Oryctolagus cuniculus: one gene and its partner. The protein of the gene in region 1 interacts with the protein of each later gene in a pairwise test. Links are inferred from orthologs where the notes say so. Each region holds a gene or a part of one and is shown in the gene's direction. Other genes may lie near its edges.

The links.
Region 2: the proteins of PLAA (region 1) and UBXN1 interact in binary tests that used the Homo sapiens proteins (3 or more experiments, as listed by UniProt). The two-hybrid records come from large-scale screens. The link is inferred for Oryctolagus cuniculus from reciprocal best matches to the Homo sapiens genes PLAA and UBXN1.

The regions. Positions count from the first base shown.
Region 1 is NC_091432.1:190,206,517-190,211,208, reverse strand, and holds the start of PLAA (phospholipase A-2-activating protein), read left to right. Parts: upstream 1-1,826; 5' UTR 1,827-2,268; coding exon 2,269-2,417; intron 2,418-4,692. UniProt on the Homo sapiens protein: Plays a role in protein ubiquitination, sorting and degradation through its association with VCP. Involved in ubiquitin-mediated membrane proteins trafficking to late endosomes in an ESCRT-dependent manner, and hence plays a role in synaptic vesicle recycling.
Region 2 is NC_091432.1:8,888,520-8,893,211, forward strand, and holds UBXN1 (UBX domain-containing protein 1), read left to right. Parts: upstream 1-1,254; 5' UTR 1,255-1,461; coding exon 1,462-1,520; intron 1,521-1,627; coding exon 1,628-1,681; intron 1,682-1,769; coding exon 1,770-1,876; intron 1,877-1,962; coding exon 1,963-2,032; intron 2,033-2,152; coding exon 2,153-2,344; intron 2,345-2,427; coding exon 2,428-2,479; intron 2,480-2,597; coding exon 2,598-2,714; intron 2,715-3,619; coding exon 3,620-3,812; intron 3,813-3,972; coding exon 3,973-4,022; 3' UTR 4,023-4,112; downstream 4,113-4,692.

The DNA.
Region 1 (4,692 bases):
TAAAACTATCCTAAATCTGTATATATGAAATATCTGAAACTTGTATAACTCAAATACAGTGTTTTTTTTTTATAAAAGACCTATTTAATTTATTTGAAAGAGAGTTATAGACAGAGGTAGGTAGAAATAGAGAGAGAGAGAGAGAGAGAGAGAGAGAGAGAGAGAGAAAGGGTTTTCCATCTACTGGTTCACTCACTAGATGGCTGCAATGGCCAGAGCTGAGCCAATCTGAAGCCAGGAGCCAGGAGCTTTATCTGGGTCTCCCACATGGGTGCAGGGGCCCAAGGATTTGGGCCATCCTCCACTGGCGCTAGTTCGAGTCCCAGCTGCTCCACTTCTGATCCAGCTCCCTGATATGGCCTAGAAAAGCAGTAGAAGATGGCCCAAATCTTTGGGCCCCTGTACCCGCGTGGGAGACCCAGAAGAAGCTCCTGCCTTCTGGCTCCTGGCTTTGGATGGACACAGTTCTGGCTGTTGCGGCCATCTGGTGAGTGAACCGTGGATGAAAGACCTCTCTGTCTCTCTCTCTCTGTCTCTGCCTATACCTCTCTCTAGTTCTGCCTTTCAAATAAATAAATAAAATCTTTAAAAAAATAAGATTTATTTATTTGAAAATAAAAAATTGTATTGGTTCCAGAGAGGAACTAGACGGATACACATGATAAACCAGTATTGAAATTTGACAGGTAAAGAACGTGACATTCTAGGTTACAATGATAGTACCCACCCTATCCTTGCGTCATCCTTTAAAAAAGTGATTTATTTATTTGAAAGGCAGAGTTACAGAGAGGTAGAGGCAAAAAGAGAAGTCTTTCCAGGCAGATTCACTACCCAAGTGGCTGCAAGGGCTGGAATTGGGCCTACCCAAAGCTAGGAGCTAGGAGCCTCCTCCTGGTCCCCCTAGGTGGGTGCAGGGGCCCAAAGCCTTGGACTATCTCCTAATGCTTTCCCAGGCCACAGCAGAGAGCTGTATGGGAAGAGGAGCAGCCGGGACATGAACCGGTGCAGATATGGGATGCTGGCACTGCAAGCGGAGGCTTTACCACTACGCCACAGTGCCGGCCCCTAGGTTAAGATTTCTAACAGCTGGAAATACAGATCTGAAATTTGGATATGTCATTCTGAGGGATAGAGCTTTAGAAGAAAAGCAAAGTGGTAAATAGTCTCCTCAGGGAGAGGTATTCAGGGCTGTTGGAGAAAGAAAAGGAGGAGTGGTGATTCCAAACCTGAAGTGGGCGTTTCCAGTAGGGAGAAGTCAGAAAAGCGCAAACTGTAATTAATTTATAAGGGTTGTGAAGTGGAACTAGATGCAAGGGGGGAGCAGCTGGAAGTAGAACAGGTCTTGTAAACCCTTGCAGTCATTGTAGACGGATGACGACAAGCAGCATCACCTGGGGTTTGTCAAAACTGCATGAGCTACGTTCGGCCTCAGCCGGACCTACCGAATCAGAATCTGCACTTCAACAAACTACCGGAAGTAGGCGTACTTTCAAAGAGTACAACTGGACTATCTTACTTATTTGCTAACTTTGATGGTAGGGGGCAAAGAGACTAGTAATTTGAAACCAAGGCAAACTATTAAGCGGCCCCAATTTCCTGGTCTCTAGTTTTAATGGGGGGTGGGGAGGGAGGAAAACCGCTTGTTTAAAATGTCAGTAGACTGCAGAGGCGGTTTGAGGAAAATTGGTATGGACGCCGCAAAAGAAGTCAACAAGCAACTCCACCCCGTTGACCCCACAGCGCGCAGCTCCGCGGACCCAGATTTGAAAAATCCAGATTCTGCGCACTGGCTGCTCACGCCCCACTGGCGCGCGGCATTGTGGGACTCGTAGTCCCCGCCTGCTTGCAGAATTACAACAAACAGTTTGGCGGGGACGAGGAAAGGGTCAGAGTTTGGAAAGGACCCGAGGGCGGGGTCAAAACAGCCGGCCGTCCTTACCCCTTCGTCTTAGGGCTGCCTCGAGCGCGAGAGGGGACAGAACCCTAGCTGCCCGCCGGCCTCGGCAGCCCGGACGCACACGCTCTGCGTCATGGCGGGCTGGGGCGGATGATGAATTCCGGTGTGCAAGTGTGGGTTGCTGTGTCACTCGGCCCGCTCGGCGCGCCCCTTCCCCGCCGCCCTTCCGCACCGGCTCTTGGGCTCTTCCGGTCCCCAGGCGCCCCTCACCTGCAGGCTCGTCTCCCGCCGCCGCTTGGAGCACGCCGAGTCTCCGCTGCGGACTGATCTCGCGCGGTGCCCGGGATCCGGGCGCCGGAAAGACCCTGGCCATGGCTAGCGGCGCTGCCAGGTACCGGCTGAGCTGCTCGCTCCCGGGTCATGAGCTGGACGTGCGGGGCCTGGTGTGCTGCCTCTATCCGCCGGGGGCCTTTGTGTCGGTGTCCCGAGACCGCACCACCCGCCTTTGGGCCCCGGACAGGTGAGCGCTGCGAGTGGGGCTGTCGGCCGTCTGTGTTGCAAGCTTCCCGGCGAGTGGGAAGAGTGTCTCTTCCCTGCTGTAGCCTGCTCTTTCCCTCTCTTGCTGGTCTTTCCTCTGCTTCCCGCTCCTTCCCAACCCTCTGAGCCCTGGCTCTCTGGGCACTCCTCGTTAAGATTCTAGCGAGACTGAAGTGGAAGGAACCCCAGGTGGGGGACCGAGATCGGCTTTCTTGTCCTAACTTGAGCACAATCAAATGAGTGACCTTGGACGCGCCTCTTATTATTTATTTTTTTGGTGGTGGTGGGGGGGGAGGGCTTCGGTTTTCGGACGATGATCTCCCAAGTGTCTTCTAGATTTAGAGGTTTACTAATTCCATGTGCATCTTCCTAAGTGAGTAAGTCCAAAAGCATCTGGCATGTCCTCGTTCTCCCCCAGAAGTTGTACTGTAGTCTTCCTTCCGATAGGTTTTGAACACGTCAGTTCTCAAAAATTGCATTGACTCCATCCCTGTTGTCCAGTTTAGAGTTCCTTAGTCGGGGGTCTGTGAGGGTCTTGGGGGCAGGGGGTGAAAACTTCTCAAAAGTTTTATTGCCATATGGGGACGTGCTGTTTTCTTGAGGACAGAGCTTGTACTAACCTGAAAAAGACTTATCAGAGGGGTTCAGGAGGGGAAGAAGGTCGAGAACCAGGTTAACCTCCAGTCCAGACCAAGTTCAAGGGTTTGGCTCTGATTTTAGCTGGTTTTTAGCAGGAAATTTAAAACCAGAACAGAGATTTTTTTTTTGTTCCGGAAAAAGAAAAATTGAGGTTAGTGGTTTTATTATTTGGCAAGTCTGCCATCACTGGAGGTTTCAGGGTTTGGGTGGCCATCCATCAGTCGATTGCTAACTATAGAGTGCCCCCTGTTTATTTTGGATCTTGGAGAGGAAAATGAAGACAAGTTGGCTGTGTTTGTACAGCTGTCTTGCAGTCTGCTGAGGAACAAGGCTTAAAACCCAAGCAAATAAGTAGTTAAGAACTGGCACCTGTATTATGAAGAAAATAAATGGGGTGAAGGAAGGTGTAAAAGAGGGGGCCTCTCTGAAGAGATGTGTGCTTTTGACATTTGAAGCACTGACCACATAGATTAAGCTGGGAGCCTTGGGGAGGAAGAATGAATAGAGTTGAACTGAAAGAGCTAGGCAGAGGCCCTGGCTTGAAAAAGACAAGTCCCTAAGTGGCAGGAGGGAATGAGCTGTGAACTGAGATCAGGCAAGAGCCACATCATGGAGTCTGCAGGTGGGAGCCTTCAAGAACTTAGCAGTGGAGAGCAGCGTGATGTGATTTACCCATTGAGAAGTGTCTGTCAGCTGCTGGTGGAGAAGGGGCACGGAAGTAGATCTTTTCGGAGGCATTTGCAGTATGCTAGACTAGACTAGGTTTTATAAAGCAAGCCTTGTATTGGATGAGTTGACCTCTACAGGTCTCTTCTAACATTGTCAGGACTATCTAAAGGTTGTCTGTTGTAATTTTATCTATCCTGCCATTAAACTTTTACATGTTTTGTAGAATTGTGTTAGGTTGACAAGAGTTTAAGTTGCTGGAGTGCTTGCATTTTCAAGCAACGTTTAGTTGAAATGATCTTCTATTTGAAAACTAATTCTTGTCTTTTAACTCATGTTCTTTTAAAAAAACTTATTCATAGATTTATTCAACTAACACTGATGAAGAGCTTGCATTTTGCCAGGCACAAGGCTAGAAAATGAGTGATAAGACAGATAAAATTACTTAATTTGTTATTTGTAACTGCATAGGTTAAAGGATCTCATAGTCACGGAGTGTTAATCTCTTAGCCATCATGAATAGAATGACCCAGCCACACCATTTATTGTTATAAAAAGTGTCTTCAAGGCCAAGATACTGGCAATTTTTATTTCATAGTATATTTATAAAATTAGAGTACCATACAATATTTGGAGCTAAGTAGTAAATGAAGTTTGTTTGCTCGTATACATTATTGATATGGTTCTGGTTCAGCATATTAAGTGTAGAGAGTAGAATGATGGGGGAGTTTTGTTCTAGGGAGATGGAAATAGTTCTGTTCTAGAGTGGACTAAGTCTTTCACAAAATCCCATTGAAAACCCAGAAAGTCTCTCTGGACCCTCTGAAGTCCCTTCAGAATAGAGACATTAATTTTTGGGTTGTGCACTGACTTGAGACAGCCAACATGCCCTTGTATCAGACTCCTTCTGTCTTCAGATTTCTCAAGTCTGTCACAACTTCTAAGTTTTGAGG
Region 2 (4,692 bases), about 180 Mb from region 1:
CTGGATCAGAAACACAGAGGCCAGCAAGTCAGGTGCTCTGATCCGTGATAGCAACAGTGCTTAACTCTCTGCACACAAAGTCAGGCCCTCTGTGAATTCGCTGGCCCCATTAGAGTCACTTCCCATTGCATCTCTCTCTTTCTCCATCGCTCTGCCTTTCAAGTAAATAAAAAATCTTGCAAAAAAAAAAAAAAAAAAAAAAGAAAAAAAAAGAAAAGAAAAAGAAAATTTCACTTTTTAAATATTTTTTAAAATTGTCATTTATTTTACTTATTTGAGAAACAGAGTCAGACAGAGGTCTCCCGTCTGCTGGTTCCCATCCAAATGCCCATAATTGCTATGGCTGGGCCAGCTGAAGTCAGGAGCTGGGAACTCCATCTGGGTCTCATGTATGACTGGCACATGTACCTGAGCCGTCACCTGCTGCCTACCAGCGTGTGCAGTAGCAGGAAACTGGAATGGAAGCAGAGCCAGGACTTGAACTTAGTTAGGCCAAGTGCCTGCTCCCTAAAAACCAAAGTGCTTCACCTCGCTGGATCTAACAGCCTTGGCAGTGACGGGGTACTAGGTTATCAGTGAGCACACAGCGGAGGGGTGAATAACGAATGAGGCAGACACTGAAGCTTCGGGGGGGGGGGGGCACGCAGGCTTGGGTTAGGAAGCAGACTCTGGATCCTGGAAAATGACCGCGAGGAGGGCTAGGGCCTGTTTTGCAATATGCGCAGGTCACCCTGAGGTGGCTGGGGATGAAGCTGCGCGGGTTTAACTACCAGCACTGAAGTCACACCGTCTAGGGCAGGTGTGAGTGCTGTCTCCACTTTACCAGACAGCGGGGCAGAAGGCCGCGGGTGTTTCAGTTTTGCGCGACACGGAGAAGTCCGAAGCAGAAAAGCGATGACAGGATCAGACACACTGTGTTTTCGCAAAAGGCCCTTCGGCGGTAGGGCAGAGGATGGCTCCCTGCCCCGGGGGAAGACGAGCGGGCTGAAGAGCGCGCACACTTCTACGGCTCCTGATACACTCGGCCAAACTACTTTCCAACGGGATCGGCTAAGGGGCCGTGATCCTGGTAATCTGCGAGGAGGGTGAAGGGTGCGAAGCTGGGGGGCCCGCTTGCCTCCGCCCACCGCCGCGGGGCGCCAGGGCTCGACGCGTCGGCTCGGATCCGCGGACTCTGCGCCGCTGCCGGCCCCGCCCGCGCGAGGTCCAGGCAGCCGGACCCGGGAGCTTTGTGGCTCCTGGCGGCACCCGTCCACGTCCGTCCCACGTGACCCAAACAGTTTCGTGCACTTCCGTTTCCCTCTCGGCTTTCTTATCGTCGGTGTCCCGGCGGGTCCGGAGCCGGTGGGTGAGGGAGCGCCCGGCCGGGGGCGTCAGAGGCGGGGTCGCCCTGCGCTGACCGTTCCCGGCCTCCCTGTCGGCACACCAGGTCCCCGCGGAAGCGGCGGCGGCGGCGGCGCCATGGCGGAGCTGACGGCTCTGGAGAGCCTCATCGAGATGGGCTTCCCCAGGGGACGCGCGTAAGGGAGCCTCCTCGCCCCGATCCGCGCGGACCGGTCCCGGCCTTTCCCCGAGCCTGGCCGTCACTATGGCTCGTAGGCGCTACTCACGCTGTTTCTCCCTCCAGGGAGAAGGCTCTGGCCCTCACAGGGAACCAGGGTATCGAAGCGGCGATGGACTGGTGAGCGCTCAGGCCAGGGGCCCGAGGGTTGGGGGCTGTCGGGAGCGGCAGCCTGGACGCTGAGCTCCCTGCCGACTCCCCCGGCCAGGTTGATGGAGCACGAAGACGACCCCGATGTGGACGAGCCTCTGCAGGCCCCGCTCGGACATGTTCTGGGACGGGAACCCACCTCCTTGGAGCAAAGTGGCGCCGCAGGTCCCGACTGGGGGGACGTGGTGTAATTACCCGCGGGCACCCGAGGAGAGCCTGCACGCGGAATAACACGGGTTGCTCGTTTGTAGGCCCTGGGTCTGCTGCTGGCGAAGGCAAACCCGCGCTGAGTGAGGAGGAGAGGCAGGAACAGACGAAGAGGTGGGTTGGTGGGGAACCATGTTGAGTTTCTCTCCGCGCCTCCCTGACCTGCCCCGGGACACGCGTTCCTCGGCCCCTTGCTGTAAACCTACCTTCCCCCGGCGTGCCCTCTTCCCTCAGGATGATGGAGCTGGTGGCCCAGAAGCAGCGCGAGCGGGAAGAACGAGAGGAGCGGGAAGCCTTGGAACGGGAGCGGCAGCGCCGGCGGCAGGGGCAGGAGCTGTCAGCGGCCCGACAGCGGCTGCAGGAGGGCGAGATGCGCCGCGCCGCGGAGGAGCGGAGGCGGGAGAAGGCCGAGGAGTTGGCAGCCAGGTCTGGGGCGGGGGGCTGGGGGCTGGGGGCGACTCGCGGTTTGCTTGGCTGGTGTCTGACCTTCCTCCCTGTCTGCATTCCAGACAGAGGGTTCGTGAGAAGATTGAGAGAGACAAAGCGGAGAGAGCCAAGAAGGTCGGTGTTGGCGAGACACTGGGGGTGGTGCCGTAGGCGGGTTAGTGAACCGCCCTTTTGTGAGCCCTTCCTCCTGAGGGTGAGTGCCTGCCTGACAGTGTTCGATTTTGTCCTTCAGTATGGTGGCAGCGTGGGTTCGCAGCCAACCCCACCAGCGACAGAGCCAGGTCCTGTTCCCTCCTCTCCCAGCCAGGAGCCCCCCAGCAAGCGCGAGTACGACCAGTGTCGCATCCAGGTACTGATTCTGAGTCCCGTCTTCTTCCTGGGACCCCTTTTTCAGGGCTTTAGGGTGCCCGTTCAGAGCTTTTTTCAGTCTTGTTCCCTTTGCCAGGTCTCTTCCTTCTTTGTAAATGACTTTTGAAATACTACCTCCTCTACTCTTAGGAAAGGATCAAATTTCACCTGCTCCAGTCTTATTTAAACCCATACCTCCCTCTTACTCAGCAGTTCACCTTTTACTTGTCCATGTTTCATTTGGTTTATTACACAGGTATTTTTGTGACATGATATTTATCCAAATGTTTCTGTCCTTGTCTTAGATTTTGAGGGATCCAGGAGTCTCTCTTTTTTTATTTTTATTTTTTTTGACAAGAATGAGACTTTAATCAGTTTTAAGTGGAGTTTATAACACTAAGAGATAAAAGGTTGTTAACAAACACAATAACAAATGGACATCTGATTGGTATGAGAGGAGTCTCTCTTTTTAACAGTAAAGCAGAGCATAAGTGGTTTTTTTAGGTGCTTTAAATAGTAGTTGTGCTAGTTTAGTCTCTTTAAGAGGAAGTGGGGGTAGCTTTTTAGCTGTTCTTTTCCTTGGGCATTTTTTAAAAAGATTTTTATTTATTTGAAAGGGAGAATTAGAAGTCTTCCATCTGCTGGTTCACTCCCCAAATGGCCACAATGGCCAGGGCTGGGCCAGGCCGAAGTCAGGAGCCTGGAACTCCAAGCAGGTCTCCGACATGGGTGGCAGGGGCCCAATGACTTTGGTCATCTTCCCTGCTTTCCCAGACACACTAGCAGGGAGTTGGACCAGAAATGGAGCAGCCAGGACTCATATGGGAATCCGGCATCATAGGCCGGGGCTTAACCCCGCTCTGCAATGTCAGCTCCCTCCCTCAGGCTGCCTCCTTTGCCTTCTAGGTCAGGCTGCCAGATGGGACCTCACTGACCCAGACCTTCCGGGCCCGGGAACAGCTGGCAGCTGTGAGACTCTATGTGGAGCTCCACCGCGGGGAGGAACCTGGAGGAGGCCAGGACCCTGTGCAGTTGCTCAGTGGCTTCCCCAGGCGGGCCTTCTCAGAGGCTGACATGGAACGGCCTCTGCAGGAGCTGGGTACGTCATGCAGGACCACAAACCAGGATGTGGGGGAATGGAGGACATGCCTGGGAAGAGAAGGGACTCTGCAGATGCTGGGTGGTAGGTGCAACTGGAAATTTTGGGAGCAAACAAGTATCCTTGTGTGTGGTTCAAGCCTATTTTCTTTCATCTTCAGGACTCGTGCCTTCTGCTGTCCTCATTGTGGCCAAGAAATGTCCCAGCTGAGGCCTTTCTCCCACCGTTCTTCTCTGATCTTTTCATCTTTGATAAAGCACTGACATCTCCCGCTAATAAATAGACCCGCTGAGTTCTCTATATGCCTGACTCCTTCCTGAATTGTTGGGAGGGAGGAAACTCAAGCAGAGGAAGAAGCTGAACAGAAGGCAATGGAGTAGATCCTCTTCCTCATGGGTAGTTTCTAATCTCTGGGTCTGATTAGCTGTCAGGAAGGTTACGTGGGGAGATGTTGAGGGGTGGGGAGTACACTGGATGGCATCTTTTTGCTCCTGTGGATAATAGTTTCTAGAGTAAGAATAGTAGTACCTGTTTATTTGGGTTGTTTCATAGTGCCTGAAATATAATAAATCCCCCAAAATATTAGCTACTAAATGAGTCAGTTTAATATATATATATTTATGTGCTTATTTATTTTGAAAGGGAGAGACAGAGATCTTTCATCTGCTCGTTCATTCTCCGTATGGCAGCAACAGCCAGGGCTGAGCCAGGCTGAAGCCAGGAATCAGGAACTCTGGGTGGCAGGGGCTGGAGCATCACAAGTAGCGGTTTAACCCCACTGCACTGCAATTTCAGCCCCCAAAAGGGTTAATTTTTAATGTGCCACCCATAAATACTGAGAGGAGCATGAGAGTGACCTTGACCTTCACAACTGCATTTC